Notamacropus eugenii: one gene and its partners. The protein of the gene in region 2 interacts with the protein of the main gene of each other region in a biochemical or structural test. Links are inferred from orthologs where the notes say so. Each region holds a gene or a part of one and is shown on either strand. Other genes may lie near its edges.

Region 1 (7,928 bases), on a different chromosome or scaffold from region 2:
ATTATAGCTGACTTTTAAATAGCACCTACTATGTGTCCAGGGGAGAACTAGCACCATTGGGGTGAGAGATTACTGAGCCCTATTCAGAGCTGCTCCTCTACCTTTGGTGTCCACCTTTTTCACCCAACTCTTACTTGTGGCTCTAAGAACCTGTAGCTTGCTAACCAGTTACACCGAATAAAACCATTTTGGCAAATGAGCTAAAGCAGGTTGAGGGTAACCAACAAATGTCAGACCTGGCGGTGAGTTAGAGGGATGTCTGCTCCAAGCATATGAAGACTTCTTCCTGGAAGAATGGGTAGAAGGGAACAATTTGTTCCAGCAACCATGAAGGCAGCTAAAGTAGGCACTGTGGGGAACACAGAACTTGGTCAGATATCACAAACACCAAAGTCATTCACTGCATCCTGGGCCATCGTTAGTCTTCCTGACCTTTGCCTTGCCATTGGACTTCAATGACTCAGGAAAAGAGAATAAAGCTGAACTCTTCCACACTTAAGTCCAATTCATGCACAAGTCAAGACATGGCCATTATGTTTTTGGTCCTCTTTGAAAATGAAGGAGGAGCAACTATGTGCCAGGCACTGTGCTAAGTGCTGTGTAATTATTATCTCATATGATCCTCACAACCATAGGTGATAGATGTTATTATAATCTTCATTTTACAGATGGGGAAGCTGGGGTAAGTAGAGGTTAATTGACTTGTCCAAAGTCAAATAGCTGGTAAGTATCTGAGCCTGGATTTGAACTCAGTTATTCCTGACTCCAGTGTTTGGTAAATACAAAGTCTCTAGTTACTAGGGGAAAGACTCACTATTTGATAAAAACTACTGGGAAAATGGGATAGCATTCTGGCACTTATTAGGTTTAGACCAACCACTTATACTATATAACAAGTTGGGATCCAAATGGATACATGACCTAGATAAAAAGTTACAATATAAACAAATCAGAGGAACAAGGAAGAAATTACTTTTTAGATTCATGTGCAGGGGGAAAGTTTGTGACTAAATAAGTTGTCACAGAAGATACAATGGATAATTTTGAGTATATAACATTTAAAAGTTTATTTTTTAACAAATCTAGAAGGGAAGCAAGCAATTAGGAAAAAAATCTTTAACAAATAAAAGTCTTATATACGAGATACATAAAGAACTGATTCAAATTTATAAGACTAAGAGCCATTTCCCAATAGATAAAAGGTCAAAGTATGACCTGGCCATTTTCAAAGGAACAAATCCATCCTATCAATAAAATATAAAAAATATAAAAAATCATTAATAGAAAAATGCAAACTGAAGCAACTTTGATGTTTTGATTCACCTATCAGACTGGCAAAAATGATAAAAGAGGAAAATGGTGAATATTAGAGGGGTTGTTGGAAAATAGATATACTTGTACAAATAAAAGGATCAGATTATTTGATTTTTGTCAATCTTTATGCACTTGTTTAATGTTTTCTAGAAAAAAAACTATGCAAATGTCACAAAATTTAATTCATCTTACTTTTCCTCAGTTCAAACTGTAAAAGTATCAAAAATCACCTTCAATGCAAAACTAATGAATGTAAAAATGTTTTAGCAGGATTTGCTTCATATGATAATTAATTGCATTAATATATTTCCTGGGGCATATCTTGAATTAGTCCTCTTAATGAAGAATAATCAACAACGAAAATAATGATAACAACACTTGTGCAGCTATTCCAGAAGGCAATTTGCCCAGAAAGTTACCAGCCTGTTGTATGACCCTTCTATAACACAAGTTGGCCTATGCCCCAAAGAGTTCAAAGAAAGTGGAAAATGACCTATATGCACAAAAATAGCAGCTCTTTTTGTAATGGCACAGAACCAGAAACTAAGGGGGCATCCATTAATTGGAGAATGGCTGATCAAATTATAATATGTGAATGTAATGGAATACTACTGTGTTTTAAGAAATGTTAAAAAGGAAGTTTTCAGAAAAACTTGGGAAGATTTGTGCGAACTGAGGAGAATCAGGAGAATAATTTATGCAATAACAACATTGTAAAGATAAGCATTGCAAGATCTAAGAACTGTACTCAATGCAATGCCCAACCACTATTCCAGAGGACTCAACAGTGAAATGTGCTATCTACCTCCTGACGCAGAGGTGACGTACCCAGAGTGTAAAGTAAGATAAATCTTTTGAACATGACCAATGCATGAATTTGTTTTGCTCGAGTATGAATATTTATTATAAGGGTTTTTCTTTCTTTTTTCATGAGGTGGGGAGGTGGAAGGGAGAGAGATGAATTTTCATCGAGTGAAAATTTTTTAAAAAAATAATATCAATATATAAAGAAAATATATGTCCAACAAAAGCAGTGGTCATTGTGTTGGAGTAGATCCAGTATAGAGTTCAAGTTGAAGATCTGTTACCCATAAATGGTGATGTCCTTCAGGTTTGTTGTTTACTGGTAGTTTAGAAATACCGAAGAGGTTGCTAATAGAGATAAATAACCTCTCAGTCTGAAAATCCACAAAGAAAAGATCCAAATGGATAAAGAATGTCTATTGCCTAAGTTATGACGTTTTTATGAACAAACTACAAAGTTTGTCTATCATCATATATATCTGAAACATTGTTTTCATGGACAATTAATTACATAGGCTAAGAATTGAACAGGAAGAGGAGAGCAGTCTGTATAGTCTTTGAAAAATTGCAAAGCACCTTTAATGGTCCAAACTTCTCCTAAAAATAAAGTTTCTTCTTTTTAATACTAACATTCTATTAGTGTCGCTGCATGGAAATGAGATATTGGATAAACAGTTCCTGAATAATAACATTTTATTTATATAGCTTTTTAAGGCTTGCAAAGCACTTTATATTACAGTTGAAAATAAATATCACAAAAGGCAATGAAGAGACACATGGTAGATGTAAACACATAGCAACAAATGAAGAACTTCAAAGAGCAATAATAAAAATTGTCATCAAAGAAATGTGTGCTAGGGAAAGATAGTCACAAAGTGAGATCAAGCCATTCTTGGTGGAATAAGAGGGCTCCGCAGGTAATCTTTGTAGTACCATCAAGCCAAAGTAAAGATAGCTTCCCCCTTTTGGTGAATTTATGGAAGGACATAGATAAGTACTGAACAGGATGGGCAAGCATTTGTGTAATCTGCACCCCTGAAGAGAATTTCCAAATTAATGAGATCATACATCCATTTGAGCAACTGAGTTAACATAAAATATTACCTTTTCTTTCAAGAAAACCAACTTCACAATTACAAGCATAGAGATTAAGAGTTTCCATGCATTAGACAGCTAGATGGCACAGTGGATTGAGTGCTTGTCCTGAAATCAGGAAGATCTGAGTTTAAATTCTTAGACACACACTAGCTGTGTGACTCGGAGCAAGTCACTTAATCTCTGTTAGCCTTAGTTTCCTCAAATGTAAAATGGTAATAATATTAGCACTTACCTTCTAGGGGTATTGTGAGAACAGTAAAACATCTATGCTTAATATTTGCTAGTTTCTTTCATTATAAATCCAAAATGAATTTACAGTGTGACATGGAAGCAAAAAAAAAAAAAATCTAAAGATGAAGATAGTCCAATTATACTTTACTTTGCTCAAACCACACACAGAGTGTTTCTAGGTCCCACCATTTAGCTAACACATTTATGAGCTGGATGGTGAATGACCTTGAGTTAAAAACATATGAGAATTTACTGAAAGAACTGAGAAAGGCTTAGCATAATGAGAAGACTTAAAGTGGCTTGATAGCTGTTTTCAAGTATTTGAGCCTGTAAAACGTAATAGATTTATTTTTCTTGATTCCACTAGATAGATATAGGAATACTGGGCAGAAATTGTAAAGAGGAAAATTGAGGCTTCGGTAAGGAAACCTTTCCTAACAATTTAGTGTCATTCAAAAGTGGAACAGGTTGCATTCCCATGGGGTGCTGCTCTTCCTCAAAGGGAGGTCTTTAAGCAATGACTGAACCATGGGTCCTATAAATGAGATTCTTTTCTCAGGTACAGACCGGACAAGAGGGTCATCGAGGTCCCTTTCAATTCTCAATCTCTGAAAAAGAAATGTAGCCCAAAGTCGGAAAAGGAAGGTTTGCAAAGTTCCTTTCGATTTTTGTGGTGTTGTGCAAAATCCCCCGAGCGATCACTCTGCTGTCAATTCGAGCCTTTAATTTTTAAGGAATCTGCAATAATTTGTAAAACGTTACTAGGTTAGTATGCATTACACCTTGGGCTGGTAATGGGATAGAAGAAAACTAATCAATTCTTTCTAGACGGTGAAATTCTGCGTTGGGTGGGGGGGAAGCAGGGTCTTGGTAGCAGTCCCTCCTCCCTAGTCCCCTCCTCCAACCTGGAGGAAGCCTTCATCCACCCAAGGATCATCTTCCCTCTACAGTTTTGCACAAATGCACGCGAGTCAAGAGATTACGATTAGAGAAGGAAGGGCACAGTGGTGGTCGGATAAAAAAGGGCTGGGGGAGGACTTCCAGTACCTAACCAACAAACACATTTTCAAAACCTCCCGAACTTTGGCCAGAGGGAGAGTGGGCGTGGCCAAAGGCTCCTCCCTCCCTGCGCAGCAAAAAAAAGCTAGGGGTGTGGCCTGTTCCTCTTAAGCATGGAGGCGGAGGGGGGAGGGGCAGGAGGGCCCAGAGAGGAAAGGCTGCGTTCCGAACTCCCTCCCAGCCCGCCCCTTCTCCCAGAGTCCCCACCCCCTGAGCGCAGACTCACGGGGTGGGAGGAGCTTCCCCTGCGAGGGCCCCGCCTCTGCTTTGAATATTGATAAGGTGAGCGTCGGCGTAGCCCTCCTTCCATTGAATGAGGCTGTGTCGCGTGGCCCGGCGTCGGCGTGACGGTTGGACGCGGGTGCGGCACTGCGGGTCCCGATTGCTGCAGCCGCTTGTCAGTGTGATGAAGATTGGCACCCAGGTAAGCTGTCACTCAACCGCTCCGCCGCCGCCGCCGCCGCCGCCGCCGCTCTCCGCCGTCCCTATCAATCACACCGGCCTCCCCGCCGCCGCCCCACTGCTGCCGCCCAGGCCGTTCGTGGGGAGAAGAGATGCCACTAAGCCGCGCCCAAGGGCATGGAGCAGGGACGGGGCAGGGGAGGGGGCCGCGTTTGAATGCAGGAGGGACCGGAAAGGCGGGGGGAAGAGGAGGCCGAGGGAGGCGGCCCACCCTGCAGTCTGGAAAGGGTTTCCACGGTGTTGGTGTCCATACGTGAGACTAGGAAGGAGGAAATTTCTGGAAGGAGCCGCCGCGCTGGGCCCCGCTGCGAGGCGCGCGCTCCTAAACCGTCCCTGGTGGAGCACTGCGCGCGCTCCTGCACGGGGCGGGGACAAGGGGGAGGCGGCCGGCAGGGGAGGGGGCATGGGGAGGCGCGCTGGGCCGCGCCGCGGGGTGTGGAGCTCGGCGGGGGGGAGCCGGGGAGGGCGGAGGAGGGGACGAGGCAGCCGGGGTGGAAGCGGGCGGCCGCTGGTCGCCGCCTGCAGTCGCGCGGCCTTCGGCGGCTCAGCTGAGGGGTGCCCGGGCCCGGGGTGGGGGGGAGAGTCTTCTTGAAGGTGTTGGGGAGCAGAGCCGTTTAAAGGGACCGGTGGGGCGCTTTGCTCCATCCCCGCTACTTCCACCGACCCAGACTGGTGCAGCTTTTTCGGCTTTGGGGTTTTGGGGGCGCGGGGGAGAAGGAGGCTGGAGGACGGCGAGGGCAGCGGGGAGAAGAGAGGTTGTATAATGGTGGAAGGAAGAGTTGAAGATGGCGGCTCCTCCTGCTCTCAGGATGGGGGCAGGGAAATCCCTGGAAGAAGGAGTAGGGGGTGGGAAGCACCTCCCTGGCTGGGTGCGCCTGTTTGGGGTGGACTTCCCCACCCCACCCCCCTTCAGCTGTGGTAGTGGTTGCAAGCGAGAGTCGTATCTGGCAAGCAGCAGGCTTTCCGATCCTGGCCGTGGGACAGAGTTCAATTTCGTTTGGCTTTTCTGTGGCCTTCCCCCCCATTGAGCTTAAGCCACTGACTTCCACGTGCGCTGTCGTGGGATGTGCAGTTTCTTCCCATCTCTAAAACTTGGAACTGGATGGGAAGCTGGAGACCAGAATGCCGTTAATCACTACAATAATGAAAATATACCAAGCCCTTGAAGAATCGACCATAAACATGAACACTTGCTTCATGATATTTTCTCCCTATTTCCCAAATACTGTTTTTTTAACCGAGTCAGATCATTAAAAACAAAGAATAATTTTTTAAAGATCTGTACCTCGTGTCTTACACAAGTTAAAATGTACAATAGACCCCCCTTTAAGGCTTAGATCTTGGAATCCAGGGAATGTCACTCACTAGTCAATGGAAGCATAGAAGGCCTGAGAGGAAGGTTAATAGATCTTTAGTTATGATTCCAAATAGAATTTGGCAATTTTCGTCATCCTTATAAGGCTGACTCAGTTAAACATTTCAGAACCTGCCATTCAATAATAATAGCTGACATTCGCATACATTTTGTAAAGTTTGTGAAGTACTTTGTTTGGTTCTTAGACCTTATAACAACTCTGAACTAGGCACTTACGGGTATTTGTATCCCCTTTTTACAGGTCAGAAAACTGAACTCAGAGAGGTATAAGTGACTTGAGTTGCCCCTTAGTGCTAATAAATATGGCAGATAGGATTTTTTAAACCTTGAGTCTTCCTGACGCCAAGTTTAGCACTCTTTGGACATTTGTCTTTTCCAACCTTTCCAAGGCCAGACCCTCCACATTTGCCCTCAGAATCAGCATCCTTTTCTTCTTCAGCTGAATCTGGTCCCATTGTCATCCTTTAGCTCTCTAGTACTCACCTTACCTATTGATCTCTTTTCTACTCATTACAAACCTGCTAGCTTCAACTCTTATCTTTAACTCCTCTCTGGACTATATCAACCCTGCAAACTGTTAATCCTTTTTAACTTCTTGAAAAATCCGAACTCACTTACGCGCTGCCTTCACTTGAAGTCTTCTCACGTCTCAGTTTGTTAGTATCTCGTTCCCTAACTTGTCCATTCAACAGAAACTTAAAAGTCACAATCTTTTAATTTTGTGAATAATTTTATTGATGTCTTTTGTTTTAAAATTTGTTTACTGTATCCTTTCCCTCTCAGTGGCCTCCCTTACAGAGTAAGGATGGGGACTGCACTTACGATTCTCTCTACCACTGCAGGTTCTCATCTTTTCAGCAACTTAATATTAGTGAGTTGTGACTTTAATGAAAGAGAAGAAAGGAAAAAAATTTGTAAAACTAGGTATCATATCAAAAAGATTGGATATAAGCAGTATTCCACACTCATGGTCCCCTCCTTTGCTAAAATGTAAAAAAAAAAAAAATAGGAAAGGTGTCTTTACATAGGTGTTATTTGATAGCCAGGCTTGGTCGATTGTTCTTTCCGTTTCTATTGTCTTTGTTTATGTTGTTTTCCTGGTTCTTTCCATCCTTTTTTGAGAAGCAGCAGCTGTACTTTGCATCAGCTAGTGACTTCTAAATTTGCAAAATATGATGACACTATGTTGGTTCTTATCCTTCTCCAACTTCTTTACAGAGTTTGACACTGTTGACTATTATCTCCTCTTGGATACTATCTCCTCTCTAGGTTTTTGAGATGGTGTGTTCTCTGTCTCTGTGTCTTTCTTTTACTCTCCCTCTCTCTCCTCCCCACTATTGTTTTCTAATTTCATATGTTTGTCCTCCATAGCATTTCATAGGTTTCCCCCAAAACTGTATGCTAGGACTCTTTATATTTTTTCTGTTGGTGACCTCATTAGCTCCCATATATTCAATTATTTTTATAAAGAGGAGACCCAGATCTAGATTATGTAGCCCTTAGTCTTTTTTTCAAGCTCCAGGTCAGTCCTGTATTAACTCTCTGCTCCCAAACCGAATTTATCCTCCCCCACCCACCACCCTAT
Region 2 (6,983 bases):
TGAACTTCAGAGAATACAGAGAAACAAAAATCAACAGACAAGATTTCCAACTGTCTGATCATAAGCAATATGTACATCACGGATCAACAGACAGCTCAAACTGTCTGACCATAAATACATAGTTACTAGAGAGAAAAGCACCAACATCTGGATTTTCAAAGCCAGGTGGCTTCTTAGCAGCTACCCAGAGTCTCATCTGGCCAAACAAACACTTTCATTGAGTAAGTCCCAAAACAAAACCTCACCTCAGACTATTTATATACCTTTCAGAGCTGGAGGGCAGGACCCTCTGACCCAGTGCCTCAATAGAAATTAACAAAAGGTATAGAGGCCTATTAATGGCTGAGAAAGATCTTTAACTCTTTTTCCTACCCATCATTAACCTTCAATCACCAGTTCAATGAGGAAACCAAAGATCAGAGAACTTGGTTGACTTCCCCTTCATGGGAATTCCTGCAATTCCCACATGGTAGAGTTCAGATTCAAGTCTGGGTCCTTTAATTCTAAATATCTCACAGTCTTCACTGCACCATGTTGGAAGGGACCATATTTTTAGACCTACCAAAATCTAATGGATTTAGAGATGGAAGGGACCATGGAGGAAATTGTGTCCAAATCCTTTATTTTATAGATGAAGGAACTGACAATCAGAAATATGAAGTAACATGTTCAAGGTCACACAACTAGTAAACATCTGAGTTAGAATTTGAACCTAGGTCTTTCTGAAAATGAATATTCCCAATAGAAATTCACCAGTCAGGTATTCAAAGACCTTCATTATCTGGTTCAAATGTTTCTTTCCAGGTTTATGATCAACTACTCTCCATCACAAGTTCTGTGCTTTACTCACTGGTGCATTCTTTCTAGTCTCTTGGACTTTTTGTGGCTCATTCTCCCTGCCTGGAATGTTGTTTCTTCCTACCCCCAATTCACCCATCTTACAAGATCCCACCTCTCCAATGACTGTTTCATTGACCTTCCAACTGGAAGCAGTCATCTCTTTGTATTGTCACCTATACTTCCCCAGAGATTCCTATATTTTGAACTATCCCTATGGCACATTGTACACAAAGCTTGGTAATTGCATGCATGGTTCATAGTTTATGTCTTACCTTGAATTATAAACTCTTCAAATGAAGGTGCTATGTATCCTCCACATCACTAAGCACAGTTCTTTGCAGGATGATGATGATGATGATGATGATGATGATGATGATGATGATGATGATGATGATGCAGCAGATAGGTGGTACTGTGGATAGTGTGCCAGAGCTGGAACCAGGAAGACTCATCTTCCTGAGTCCAAATCTTGCCTCTGACACTTACTAGTTGTGTGATCCTGGGCAAGTCACTTAACTTTCTTTGTCTCAGTTTCCTCATCTGTGAAATGAGCTGGAGAATGAAATGGCAAACCATTCCAGTATCTTTGTCAAGAAAACCCCAAATGGGGTTATAAAGAGTCAGAAAGAATTGAACAAAATTATTTTTATTTAAAAATAAATTAAGTAATAATGGCACAATTATTTTGCTGAATAGAGGGAATCAAGTGGTATAGTAGAAAAAAAGTAGTTTGGGAGACAAATGATCTCTATTCGAGTTACAGTTATTTTACTTGAATATGAGAAGAATCTATGATGTTATCCATGTAGGGGAACTCAGGTACCATGTAGCTGGCAAAGTGGATACAATCCTGGGTCTGGAGGAAGAAGGACCTGAGTTCAAATCCAACTCTAAGATACTTAGTAGCTCTGTGTCCCTGGGCAAGTCACTTGACCTTTGTCTGCCTCAGTTTCCTCATCCTTACAATGGGGATAATAATAGCACCTGCTTCTCAGGGTTGCTGTGAGGATTAAAGAATATAATGGAGCTATTATGGCATGATTACATTATAGTGAGGCTTAAGTGCCATTATAACTTGAAGTTCTTAGTCTTAACCTTATTTTCTTTAGATTCAGGCTAATTTATTTGGGCTGGACTTTGGGTCTGTTTTAAATTGCATGACTGCATATTATCACTATGATAACTATATTATATGAAAGTATATTATTATGGTTTAGCTTTTCACTAGGATTTGATTCTTAAAAGAACTTATAAATCAGTATATACATGTTAATAAAATAGTCATTAATAATATGACTTTGTAATTACAAATCATATTCATGCCCTTATGCCATTGTCCTGTCCTGTCAAGCAGCCTGTTAAAAGCTGCTCAGGAATGCCTTAATAATTACCCACTTCACTTATCTTGCCAAACTTGTTTTGTGCTAATGAGTGGGAAGGAGACTGGGTAATGGGTTGATGCTAAGAATAACATTTTTCATCTGATGATCTCAAAGCACCTAGCAAGTGCTACTTGGCAGCAATTCTTATCTTTTGCTGATAAGGAAACTAAGACTTTGGGTGGCTAAATTACTTTCCTGTTATTCTCCCTGACATTTAGGGAAAGAGCCACTCAATCTGCCCTCCTCTTTCCAGTCCATAGTTACGTTTTTCAGGACTACATTTAAAAATACTTAAGACTAGACTCTCAGTACTTATTTCTTTGTTTCTTACTAATAGTTATTAAGCATTTGGTGGAATGAATAAAGTCCCGTAGTTGGGAGTGAAAGGATTTTGATTCAATTCTTGGCTTCAGTATTTACCAGCTGGGTCACATGGGGAAAATTATTTTATCATTTTTTCCCCTGCCATAAATGAATATACTGTTTGCATTATTCCGCTCAGAGATTTTTTGAGGAAAGTACTTTGTAAACCTACAATACAAAGTGCCACTTAAATGTGTGCCATGAGAGTCTAACTCTAAGAAGTAATTTTCCAGTAGTGGGGAGGAGGGAAGTATGGATGGGGTAAAAAAGTTGAATTTTTCTTGACACAGTTCTCCTTGTTAAAATTTGTGCTGCTTCAGCATTATTTAGTTTTATTGTGCTTAATTTACTTCTGATGCAACCAGCCTATTGTTTGTTATTGTGAATCAATCCTCAGTGAATTTGATTTTGTCCATCTGGCTATTTAGAATGGCTATTCGTTCTTTTTGCTTCGTTCAGTGTTGTCACACTAGCGTCCTAAGGAATCCCTCCGGATTCCGAGGATGTAGCAGAAGCGAGTTTTAAAGCAGTATGGCTGAGAGGTGATGGGGGAGTGGGGGACCATTCCCTAAGAGAGTCCAGAATCTTTTCACTCTGCTTTGATCGGCTTGCAGTTAAGTAAAAGTCACGCACGTCCTTTCCACGGGTAACCTGAACCTGGTAAAACCTGCGTCTTCTAGAAGGAGGATAAGTGGAAACTGCCTAATTGAATTGGAGCTATCAGACGAGTGGCACCTTTAAGGACCGGAGATTTGGTTGTAAGCTCGGCCTCCTTTACAGCCCACCTCTGAACTCTGATTGACAGAGTGCTGGGTGAGGAGGAGGAGAAGGAGGCCGAGAAGGAGGTGATGTGAGGAAAGTAGGGAGGAGGAGGGGCTCGTCTTTTCTCAGATGGCCAATCAGGGCCGGGGGGCGGGGAACCAGTCTCCCTCCTCCCCTCCTTCTCTCCTCCTCTAGCCTCCCAGCTTCCCCGCCTCCCCCCCCCCCCTCCCCGCTTTCCCTCCACCCCCCCACTCCTCCTTCTCCTCCTCCTCCTCCTCTCCGGCTGTGGTTTTCTGTGTCAGTTTCAGGAGTCCTGAGCCTGAGCTAAACAAAAGCTGGAGGCAGAAGGGGCTGTTGGAGTTTGCAGAGACACGGAGAGGAAGGGAGGCTCTCTCTGCTTTGCCTGCTGCCGCTGCTGGGGGAGATCTGGCTTTTGCAACAGCCCACCCCCTTTGAGATCACTCTGGCTGGGGGTGGGGGTGGGGGGTGGCGGGGGGTGGGGGGGAAAGTTTGCATTGCAATCCCCCAGCCTTCCTCTTTTTTCTCCAGATCAATGCATATTTGCAAAAGGATTAAGCCACAGATTTAAGCTCCGAGAGCCCATTTCTGCTTTGCAAAGGAGCCGGGACTAAAAACAACCCAAAATTCAGCTCTGATTTCTTTTTACCAAGTGGGAAGGTGGTTTATTTTTCTTGCTTTTTGGAGTCAACACCCTTCCTCATCAGCCCTCATCCCCACCCTCACCCTGCAACCCTTTCACGCCCCCCCCTTTCCTCTCCCCACTCCCCATCCTCCCACCATCCTCTAAAAGAGGCAAAGGGATTTTTTTTTGGTCTCCCCCCCTTTTATTCTGAAAAGGATTTGGAGACAGCTTGAACGATAAAAAGCCTTGGTAGTTCCAAGGAGCCGAGCAGAGGAGAAGAGGAGGAAACAGGGGCTGCTGTTGCCTTTGGAGATGGATGATCAGCCCAGGTTGATGCATTCCCATGCTGGGGTGGGGATGGCAGGACACCCCGGCCTGTCCCAACACTTGCAGGATGGGGCTGGAGGGACCGAGGGGGAGGGAGGGAGAAAGCAGGACATTGGAGACATTTTACAGCAAATTATGACCATCACAGACCAGAGTTTGGACGAGGCGCAGGCCAGGTGAGATTGAGGCTTTTCTTTTCCATTTCTTGGGTGGTTTTATTTGTTTGTTTATTTTTTTTTCTTCGGGGAGGGGGCGTGGGGAACAATGGGATTTGAATCACTACAGCGCATTCTTTTTCGGGTTATTTCTTTTCTCGTTTTGTGGAGCAACTACATGGCGGAGGAGTAAGATTTGCAGGAGCGTTGTTATTGGAAGTGTAATCGCCCATGCCGTGATGTGTCTGTATACATATTATATGTGTGTATGTATATGAACACATAAACCGAGGCACGCAGATAATGTTGCCAGCTGATCACACCACGGCCCTCAGCACTTTTTACTGCCGTAAAAAAAAAGTCACACACAGAAGGCAGAATTGTCAAGTTTGGAACAGCATTCCCCATCTTCCTGTGGGGTCCCCCCCACATTACAGGACAACATGTCCCAAGAACACTTTTATTTGCTGAATTATAAGTTGTCTAATTCAGATCTTTTCGATTTTCTTTAATGACTCAAGGGAGGAAAAAAAAATTCTAATTTCCATGTTCTCTTTTCCTTCCCTTCCCCCCACGACCTCCCTTCTGTGTGTGGAACAGGGTATTTCTTTGTCAGTAGTTGTCAGCTATCCAGAGAATATTTTGCATATACTTAATGCTCTCTCTTTAGGGGGAAAAATGGGCCGTGGAAAGGAGAAAAATGGAATTTTGCTCGTAGATCTGTTGATCAGCTTTCTAAGACTCAAGAAAAAAATCACTTGGGTTTTGAATTCTAATTTGGGTCAGTTTCCTAAACTACACTGACATAAATCAGTTATGTATGTTCCTCAAAAAAAAAAAAAAATAGGCACAGAAATAAAGATTGCTTTTGCCTTTTCCTCCTTCAGGAGCACCTGAAGGTAGGATGCTAGAAATCATAACTGAGACCGTGGTTGGTTTATCTCTATGTCGACTCCACGAAGCTTGAGGATGTTCCTTGAGGAAATATAATGAACAAAAGTGCAGTTTTTCAACTTAAACCAGTGCCAAGGAATGAATATTTCTTACTTTGGCATTTTAGGAAAGTGGATTTCAAAATAAAAATACAGAATGCCCAATAACTCAGACCAAAAGCTTTCCCTTCCCAAACTCTTGGGGGTGAAAAACATAATATAAAGAAGTCTAATTTCCACTTAAGTCTATGGGGTTGTCCAGCCTTGAAAAGCAGAATCAATCACAGAAGTATTATTAATTTTTTTAAACTTTGGAAACCTTTGAAGAATTTTTCTTTAAAAATAAATAAAGAAGAAGAGCGAACCTCAAATGACTTGGTTATTTTGAGACTTTATTACATGATGTTTTGAGAAAGTGAGAATTTTGAAATGATAGCTGGAGAAAAATCAGCAAAAAGCATGGATTGAATGAATTACTGTATTATTTTAGGTGGAAGCACATGCAACACGTAACTCAGAAGTGGGGGGATGAAGAGGCTGTTGAAAAGTTGGGAAGGTTTAAGGACCCTTTTCCAAATATAAAAGAAGTGATGGGTGGGGGGGTTGTAGTTCTCTAGAATTCATTGATGCCTTTTATAATTTTATGATCTGAAGAAAAGATTATAGGGGTGGCAAGAGTTCTCACTAGCATTTATACTCTGAGCTGGGACAAATTGTTTCATTACATTGTTTCAGAAAAACACACATACCAATAAACTACTTTATTAAGTTTGAGGTGGGGAAGAAAGGAGATGAGTGGATACTATATACATCATGTATGTGTGTGTGTGTGTGTGTGTGTGTGTGTGTGTGTGTATGAATGTAAGTAACTAGGGGAAAACTAGTGAAAAACTCATCTTGGAGTTCACCACTTTGAATAAACTTAAATAGTGCAAGAGAGATTAGACCTGCTGTTGGGATGGAATATAAAGATCCCTCTCCCCATCTCCCTCCCCCACCCCAATCAAATAGGCACGGTATGTAAATGCCAACTCTTTAAAACTGCATTTATTTTTTTTTGTATTCAGATACATGTAGAATTAAAAAAAAATTGATAGAAACAAATGAAAAGGCATTGATACCTACAGAAAAATACACTCACTTTTTCCCTTCCCTTCACCCCCTACCAAGAAAAGGTTGTTGAAATTGTCACCTTACCACTTCCTCCTTGGTTGCTAAGCATAAGGAGTGTCTTTAGTAAATAGTATAAATTGTGTCCACTTTTCCTTTTTCTCTTTCATTCTTTGAGCAAGGGCATTTATTATTTATGAAATAGGTCGAATAGGTAGTATATGTTTTAGGTACAAAGGCATATGCTCATTTGGATACTTTCACGGTCTGACTGTAGGACTTCTTTACAGTGAATATACAACGTGCTTCTGGGGTTCTTTCCCCTAGAAGGAAAGAGTTGATTTAATTGCATATCTATTTTTTAACTTTCAAAGGGATTAAAAAAAATAGCATGTGTTTTGAGTGCCAGAGGCTTACATTAATCTTTACGTGTTAATTTTGGTTGGTAAACATAAGTCTCTTAATTCAT
Region 3 (6,955 bases), about 130 Mb from region 2:
CTTTCTATTTTGGTTTGAGGGTGTCTCTTTAAGTCTTATTTAAGTAATGTCACAATATCCCCTGTTTCCCCTCATTTTCCAAAAGTCTGAGAAAGAATGTCCTGGGGTTAGAGTACTCAATAAATAAGGAAGGAGCGCTGCAGGCGTCTACTTGCTTTGAGAGGCAGCATGACACTTCTCTAGGTGGGAATTGAGGGACCAGATCCAGACCTTGCGTTACACATTTCTTTTCAGTTTCAAGTAAGAAAATATGTAAGCTGGGGATTAGGGCAAGAGGGGGCTGGGGTTTGGGGTTAGGGAGAGGAGGGAGCCTGTGTCCACAGCATTAGTGCAAAATGAGGGTGTGAGGGAGGGAGACAAGGACTTGAACTGGGAAAGAGTTATAGATCAGGTCTGAAAGATTTTTTTTTTTTTTTTGGTCTGTCACAAGGCAACTAGCGTTAATAGTGTCCACTTTAGAGATACTCACAAGAATACTACTAATCCACACCCCAAAATCGACCCCAGGATCCACAAATATTCATCTGTCTTGTGAGTGGCAAGCCAAGCAAAGAGAGAAGAAAGGAAAGAAGAGAGACTGAGTCCTCGCAGCTCAAAGGCACTGATCTGAAGAAACAAGCAAGGGGAGAAACTGAGAGAAAAGGGCAGTGAGGCTAGGGATAGGCCACTAGATCCCTGATTGCCCCCAACTTTCTGGCAGTGGAAGTGAAGGGGACCAGGAATGCCAGCCCAGTCAGCGCCCGTCCTGTTATCTTGTGCCCCTATACATACATAGTTCCCTAGAGAGAACAGTCGAGGCCTCCTACAAAGTATCTTGGGGACACCGGCATTCAAGGGCTGGGGTGGAGATGCCCTGGGGCCGCAGGAAGTAGAGAGCCCATTAGGGGATATTTTGAGGACTCTGGATGAGGGGAGACAGACGCCAACCAGGAACAATCCCTTGGGTTCTGTGGTTAGTTCAGGAGTTGACCGAGTTAGGTGAAGCTTCTGGGGAGGTGCAAGCGGACTGGTCGGAGGAAGCATCTCCTGCAGCTTCCTTGTTGGAGCCCGGGGGCACTGCAGGGGCCAGTCCTCCCTCCCGTTCTCGTTTCTTCTGCTTCATCCGCCGGTTCTGGAACCAAATTTTGACCTGCGTCTCATTGAGCTCTAGTGTGGCGGCAATTTCCACCCGTCGGGCCCGGCTCAAGTACTTGTTGAAATGGAATTCCTTCTCCAGCTCAGTCAGCTGCCGCGTTGTGAAGTTGGTGCGAATGCCACCCGCTGGGCCCAAGCCCATATCTGAAACTTTTGCTATGGGAAAGGTGGGTGGTGTTCGGGAAAATAAAGTCAGAATAGTTGTTATCCCATCTGCCCATCCATCACCCCTAAGTTTTTCCTTTCCACCACTTCTCCTCTTCTGTATACTCTTCTCCCTCCCTCTCTCCTTCTCCCTCTCGCCTTCTTTCTCTCTGCACCGTTCTTTCACCCACCTCCAGCGACAGGCTTCCACCTCCAGTTCACCATTTTGAATCTTTCTCATCTCCAATTTTCCAGCCCAAGATTCCCCATGGCCTTCTCCCCAGATCAGTCCCTAGTCTTCCTGCTACATACAGCAAATCATCTCATCCACGCCACGCCACCCCTAGCTCCTGGGGAACAAGAGAGTCCATCTAGGCCTCTCTGCTTTGGCCAGAATTGAGACATAAGAGAGTGTTGGAGGGAGAGGGAGTAAGGCAGGGTGGAGGGGGGAGAACCTACCACGAAGACTGAAGTAGAAAATAATAGAGGATGGGGAAGAAGCCCCAAAGAGGTCACATTGGGAGCTTCTAACTTTATCCCCACTAAGACCCAAACTAAATTGGGCTGGGATGAGAAAGAAGGACATGAAAGTCTACTGGCTACTTCCCTTATCTGCTGCTCTGAAAAGTAGAATTATACGTCAGGGAAAACTGTAAATGCCTCAGAACACCAAACATTCTTCAATTGAAACTCAAAATTTGGCTGGGAAGTTGCTCTCCCTTGCCTGCCCACTACAGTCCCCCAAGCCCTAGCTTACCTGTCTTTGGAGGGTTTCGTTTGACCTTCATCCAGTCAAAGGTTTGGGTGGTGGGCATGCTCAGCTCCGACGGGCAGGGTGGTTCCTTGTCCTCCGCTAAAAGATCCCCATAGGATGGCCCGAAGGCCGAAGGTTGCTCAGTCCCATAAGTGGGCTGTGGCGGAGGGTAGGGCCCTGCCCCAGTCCCTCCTGTAATATAAGTCTCGGATAAGCTCCCCAGCTGGCTCCCATACCCCGACTGCTGAAAATAGCCCCCATCCCCATCATGTTGGCCCAAGGAGTAGTATTGGGAGGGGCCATAGCCAGGGCTGCAGGTGGGTGCAGTGTATCCCGAGGGTGAAGAGTTGGTGAAGGGGACCCCCAGTGCTGATGGAGTCTGTGTGGGGTAGCCTGGATTCTGCTGGAGGACAGGGCTGGGGAGACCACTTCCATAACGAGGTTCCCCTCCATAGCTGTCACCGGGAGAACTTGAACAAGGAGGGTAAGATGTAGGGGAGCTGTAGGCTCCAGGACCTCGATTACAGAGTGCATACTCCAAGAAGGAATTCATCCTATTATAGTCCATGCGCTGAGGATGGAGGAGGGTCAGCCCGATTTGGGGGAGACACCCTCTTGCCCTACAACCTTTAGGCAGTATGTCAAAGCTCTGAGACTTCCGTCCATGGCTGTCCCCAGGTTCTCCCAGCCCAGAGCTCCCCTAGGGGAAAGGGGTAGGGGAATGGGGGAGGGCACATGTGATCCCTCTCAGGCCAATGGGCAGCCACTGGCCAGAGTTTGGCAGCCCCTGGCGCCCATCCATCACCCCCTTGGCATTAGCATGACAAAGACACTTCAATCAAGCCCGGAACCATCCATCTGAGCGGGACACCAAAGCGTCAAAAACATCTTTCTTCAAAGACTTTGGGAAAGAAGGAGCCAGGGAAAAGGGGGGGAGGAAAGTTCCAAGAATATTCAAGAGTCTCCCCCTCCTCACCCCACCCCCCAAGTCTTAAAGAGGCCCTGAGTTATTAGATTTGGCTAACTCAGTTCCCAGCTGCCCCCCAGCCCTTCCCCCCAGCCCCCAAAGGAGGCTCCGTTCTGGGACTACAGGAACAGAGGTAGGGAATACAGCATCGTTTGGGACTATTCCACCCGGTTCTTCTCCCAATTTGTCACTGGGTGATCAGTGTGAGGGTGTGTGGGTGAGTAGGTGAGTGAATGAGTGTGATTATCTAGGGTCAAAAGGGGGGAACCCCGGGGGACTGGGGGAATGTAAAGATAGATTGAAAGGGAGAGGCATCGTCTTGTATCAGGAAGAGTTCATTAAATCAGTCAGAGGAACAGGACTTTTTTAGTGGTAGAACACTATAGATATAAAGACTATTAAAAAGGAGCTGCTGAGTCATTTCACTTTTCCTCTCTACATATAGACGTTCTCTCCCTCGTCATCCATCCATCTATTCTTCTTGCAGCCTGTCTTTATATCCTCTCTGTCTCAATCCATCTCTCTATTCGTCCATCTCCCTCCATATTTATAGTCTCTCTTTACCTCTCCATCAATTCATCTTTCTAGATGTATTTATACTTTAGCTAGCCATCCATAGCTGTAATGATCTTGCTGACTTTTCAGACTGAAATAACCCTTCTCATCTCACTCTCTGGAGAGCTTTTCTTTGGAAATGGAGACTGAGGTTGTGTGTACATGGGGCAAAGTGAATTGGTACTGTTGAGTCAATGTCTGGTGAATGAAGCCGATGTCGACTACACATCATTCCTTCTATGTCCTCAGTCCCCAACCAAAACAAACAAACCACCCACAAGTGCACTTATCAAACTCAATAGTGGCGAAATTTCTGAACATTTGTACAGATCATTTACCCATTTTCCAGAGCAGAAAAAGAGAAAAAGATGGGGATAAAAGGATCACTAGATTTGAGGGCTGGTGTCCTAACAATCCCTGAAACTCTTACCCACGTCTGATGGGGGAACCGACTGTCTTGATTTCCTGATATCTCTGTTGGAATTGCAGTTGGGGCAGAATCAGCAGTCTTCTACACTTACCTCCTTAGGACAAGAATAAGCCCTCTCAGGTAGACTCCATTGGTTCTCCTCCTCCAGACAAGGCAGACAAGGCTCAGAACAATCCACCGCCTACATTCATTTGTTACTTGTCAGGGTGTCTGCTGGGCCTGCAGCCACGACCCGGGTAGCTTTGGGAGGCCAAGAGTTCAGGGGGATACTCAGTAAACAAGCACATTAACCCAGTAACCACTAAAAGTGCCAAGTCTGTCTCAGGAGAGGAAGGGAGGTAAGAATGAGATGTCTCTGGAAGGTACCCAGTCCCTCTTCAGCCTCCTTGTCACCGTTAAGTTCAATTCAGCATTTAGAGACCCATGCTATTTTCCTGGGTGTATTTAGAAGTCATAAACTCATGACTAAATACAATACCAAGTGAAATTCCCCACAAAGAAAGGTGGAAGACAGATTTGTATCTCTGCAAAGAAATCTGTGCTCTGGTTTTTTGTCTGGGTGAAAACAGTTTCTCTTTGTTTTGATGACTTCTTTTTAAATTCAACTAAGAACCCATTACTTACCCCTACCTTACAGGACTCAGAAAACTTAGGGTGGAGTATTTGAGTAAAAGAAGTACTTTCTGCTATACGGATGAGCCAACTCTGTTGTAGGAAAGGGGACCCAGTTCATCCCTTGAAGGCATTCCAAAGTAATTGTCCTTGGGTTATCATCAGTTTGTCTTGGTTCTAAAATGTGTGTGTGTGTGTGTGTGTGTGTGTGTGTGTGTGTAAATGGATGAATGGAATCCCTTCAAAGTTCTTCAAATCTGACCATTTCTCATTCATGTTGGATTCTTCCCTAATCATAATAAAACTCACTACCATATCCTTGAAGAAAGCAGACCATCAAAGAATTAAGAAGGGCTTTCTATTTCCCTCATATATATCCCCTTTTCCCCAAAGAAACATAAACACAATTTTAAGCCCCAGGACATAGGATTGTGGGGGAAGGGAGGACACAGCTGGAACTTTGCTAAAGAGAGAGATTTGATGGGGGAGGGGGAAAAGACTGTGGTCACTGCTGTGGAAAAAGAGAGAGAGGGAAATGAAGGAACAAAACAAAGGGAGAATGGGGCAGAGAGAAGAATCGGGAGAGGAAAAGAAGAAATAGAAAGAGCAAGGTGGAGTGGAGTAGCAGCACTTTCCTCCCTAAAACAGCTCATTTGTTTTTATGATACTCCAAAGATTTCTCCCATTTTAGTACTTTCCTTAGAATGGATGGGGGACAGTTCTGATGTCTCTTCTCACTCCACATTATCTCCCTTCTGCCCTAACTTAGTTTTGTCTTTGCTGTGCCTAGTTTCTGGGAAGCCCTAGCACCTTCCTCAATCCAATTAAACAAACTTTTTCTTTAGGTTATTGGACTAAGCACAAAGAATAAAAAAATAAAACACTAAATGGGTGTCTGCCCTCAAGGAGCTTGTAATTCCATTGGAATGAGGGTGGAGGGAGACACAAATAACTATAATACACAAGTGCATAAAAGAAAGAGTACTACAGGAAAGCTCTCTTCCATGGGGAGGAATTGGAGAAGGCTTCTTCAAGGGGTCGGCACTAACTCTGAGGAGGGGAACAGAGACATTTGAAGAAAGGGTCAGATCTCAATAGAAGCTGCATCTGTGTGGTAGAAGGGAGTCTATTCTAAGTGGGGAAGACTCCTTAAACAAAACTAAAAAAAGAAAGGGTGAGAACAGGGTAAGTATTCCAGTCTGGCATGAGAAGACAGTACACGAAAAGGAGCAGTGTGAGATAAGACTGGAAAGTAAGTTGGAGCCAAATTGTGTTGGTCTTGAATGCCAGGCTTATATTTTCCCTTATGGTCAATTCCTCTTGAAAGTCAACGAAAGATTTTGAGGAAGGGTATGTCATATCCACTGGCAACGTGAGGTATGAATTGGAAGTAGGGGGCAGAGGTAGAAGGTATGGGTACATGGCAATAAAGAAGTTAAGAAATTGGTCAGGTTTGGGGAAAGATGGTTTGTTTTTAGACATATTGAACTGGGATTGCCTGTGTCACATCTGAGTAAATGTCCAGCAGAGTTTTGAAAACAGGACCTTGAGGTTCAGGAGAAAAAACCTAGAAATACCAGTTTGGGTCAATTAAATTAATATAACACAAATGTCTCTCCCACTTTTTCCCAAGGTGGGAGGGCCTTCTTTGGTGAGGTGAGCCCAGGCCACCACATGACACTACTAGAGACAGCTTGAGGACCTGAAAGTAGAAAAAACCCCTCTAGAGAGCAGTTTAATTTTTAAAAAATTAGCCACACAGTAATATGAAAGATGAATTGAAAAAGGTCGATTTGTTTTGGGTAGAGAAAAACCAATATGTTTTCCAGGGTAACAGTATATAAAAAAAGAATAGCAATTATCTTTTTTTAATAACTGAGGACTCTAAAGGCAGGGACACCAGTTAGAAGGCTATTGGAACAGTGTAAGACTAAGTGATAAGTATAGAGGACCTGAACCAAGATAGTTGCAGTAGGAATAGAAAGTCTATTATTTCAATCCCTATGTATCATGGAACAGTGGAGATAGGCCTGAGTTGGATCTCCTGAAAACCGAATTATAGTGGTGGTTCTTACCTTAGGAATTGTGTGTCCTGGAAAAAGTGATTCCCTGTCTCTGGGCCTTGGTTTCTCCCTCTGTGAAATGAGACATATTTCTAATGTCACTTCTAGATTTGGAGTTCTGTGAGACTATCTAGAAGAAACTTTGAGATTTTACTCATCTATCAAACATAATTGACACAGGCTAGAGTAATCCCAGCCACAATGATTTCTGGCCTAACTCTCCTTTGGTCTGAGCTCTCTGAATGACAATTCAAATAGTGCCAAATTCACCAGGGATTGAGCTGTATTTCCTTTTG

The links.
Region 1: the proteins of PBX1 (region 2) and PKNOX1 form a complex in vitro, tested with the Homo sapiens proteins (2 studies listed by BioGRID). The link is inferred for Notamacropus eugenii from reciprocal best matches to the Homo sapiens genes PBX1 and PKNOX1.
Region 3: the proteins of PBX1 (region 2) and HOXB1 are reported together in a solved structure, tested with the Homo sapiens proteins (2 studies listed by BioGRID and IntAct, with this or other methods). The link is inferred for Notamacropus eugenii from reciprocal best matches to the Homo sapiens genes PBX1 and HOXB1.

What each region holds. Positions count from the first base shown.
Region 1 is NC_092876.1:415,902,301-415,910,228, reverse strand, and holds the start of PKNOX1 (homeobox protein PKNOX1), read left to right. Parts: upstream 1-4,828; 5' UTR 4,829-4,930; intron 4,931-7,928. UniProt on the Homo sapiens protein: Activates transcription in the presence of PBX1A and HOXA1.
Region 2 is NC_092873.1:482,285,124-482,292,106, reverse strand, and holds the start of PBX1 (pre-B-cell leukemia transcription factor 1), read left to right. Parts: upstream 1-3,933; 5' UTR 3,934-4,025; exon of another isoform or gene 4,026-4,205; 5' UTR 4,206-4,302; coding exon 4,303-4,493; intron 4,494-6,983. UniProt on the Homo sapiens protein: Transcription factor which binds the DNA sequence 5'-TGATTGAT-3' as part of a heterodimer with HOX proteins such as HOXA1, HOXA5, HOXB7 and HOXB8. Binds to the DNA sequence 5'-TGATTGAC-3' in complex with a nuclear factor which is not a class I HOX protein.
Region 3 is NC_092873.1:352,501,109-352,508,063, reverse strand, and holds the start of HOXB1 (homeobox protein Hox-B1), read right to left. Parts: upstream 3,034-6,955; 5' UTR 2,601-3,033; coding exon 2,036-2,600; intron 1,291-2,035; coding exon 959-1,290; 3' UTR 1-958. UniProt on the Homo sapiens protein: Sequence-specific transcription factor which is part of a developmental regulatory system that provides cells with specific positional identities on the anterior-posterior axis. Acts on the anterior body structures.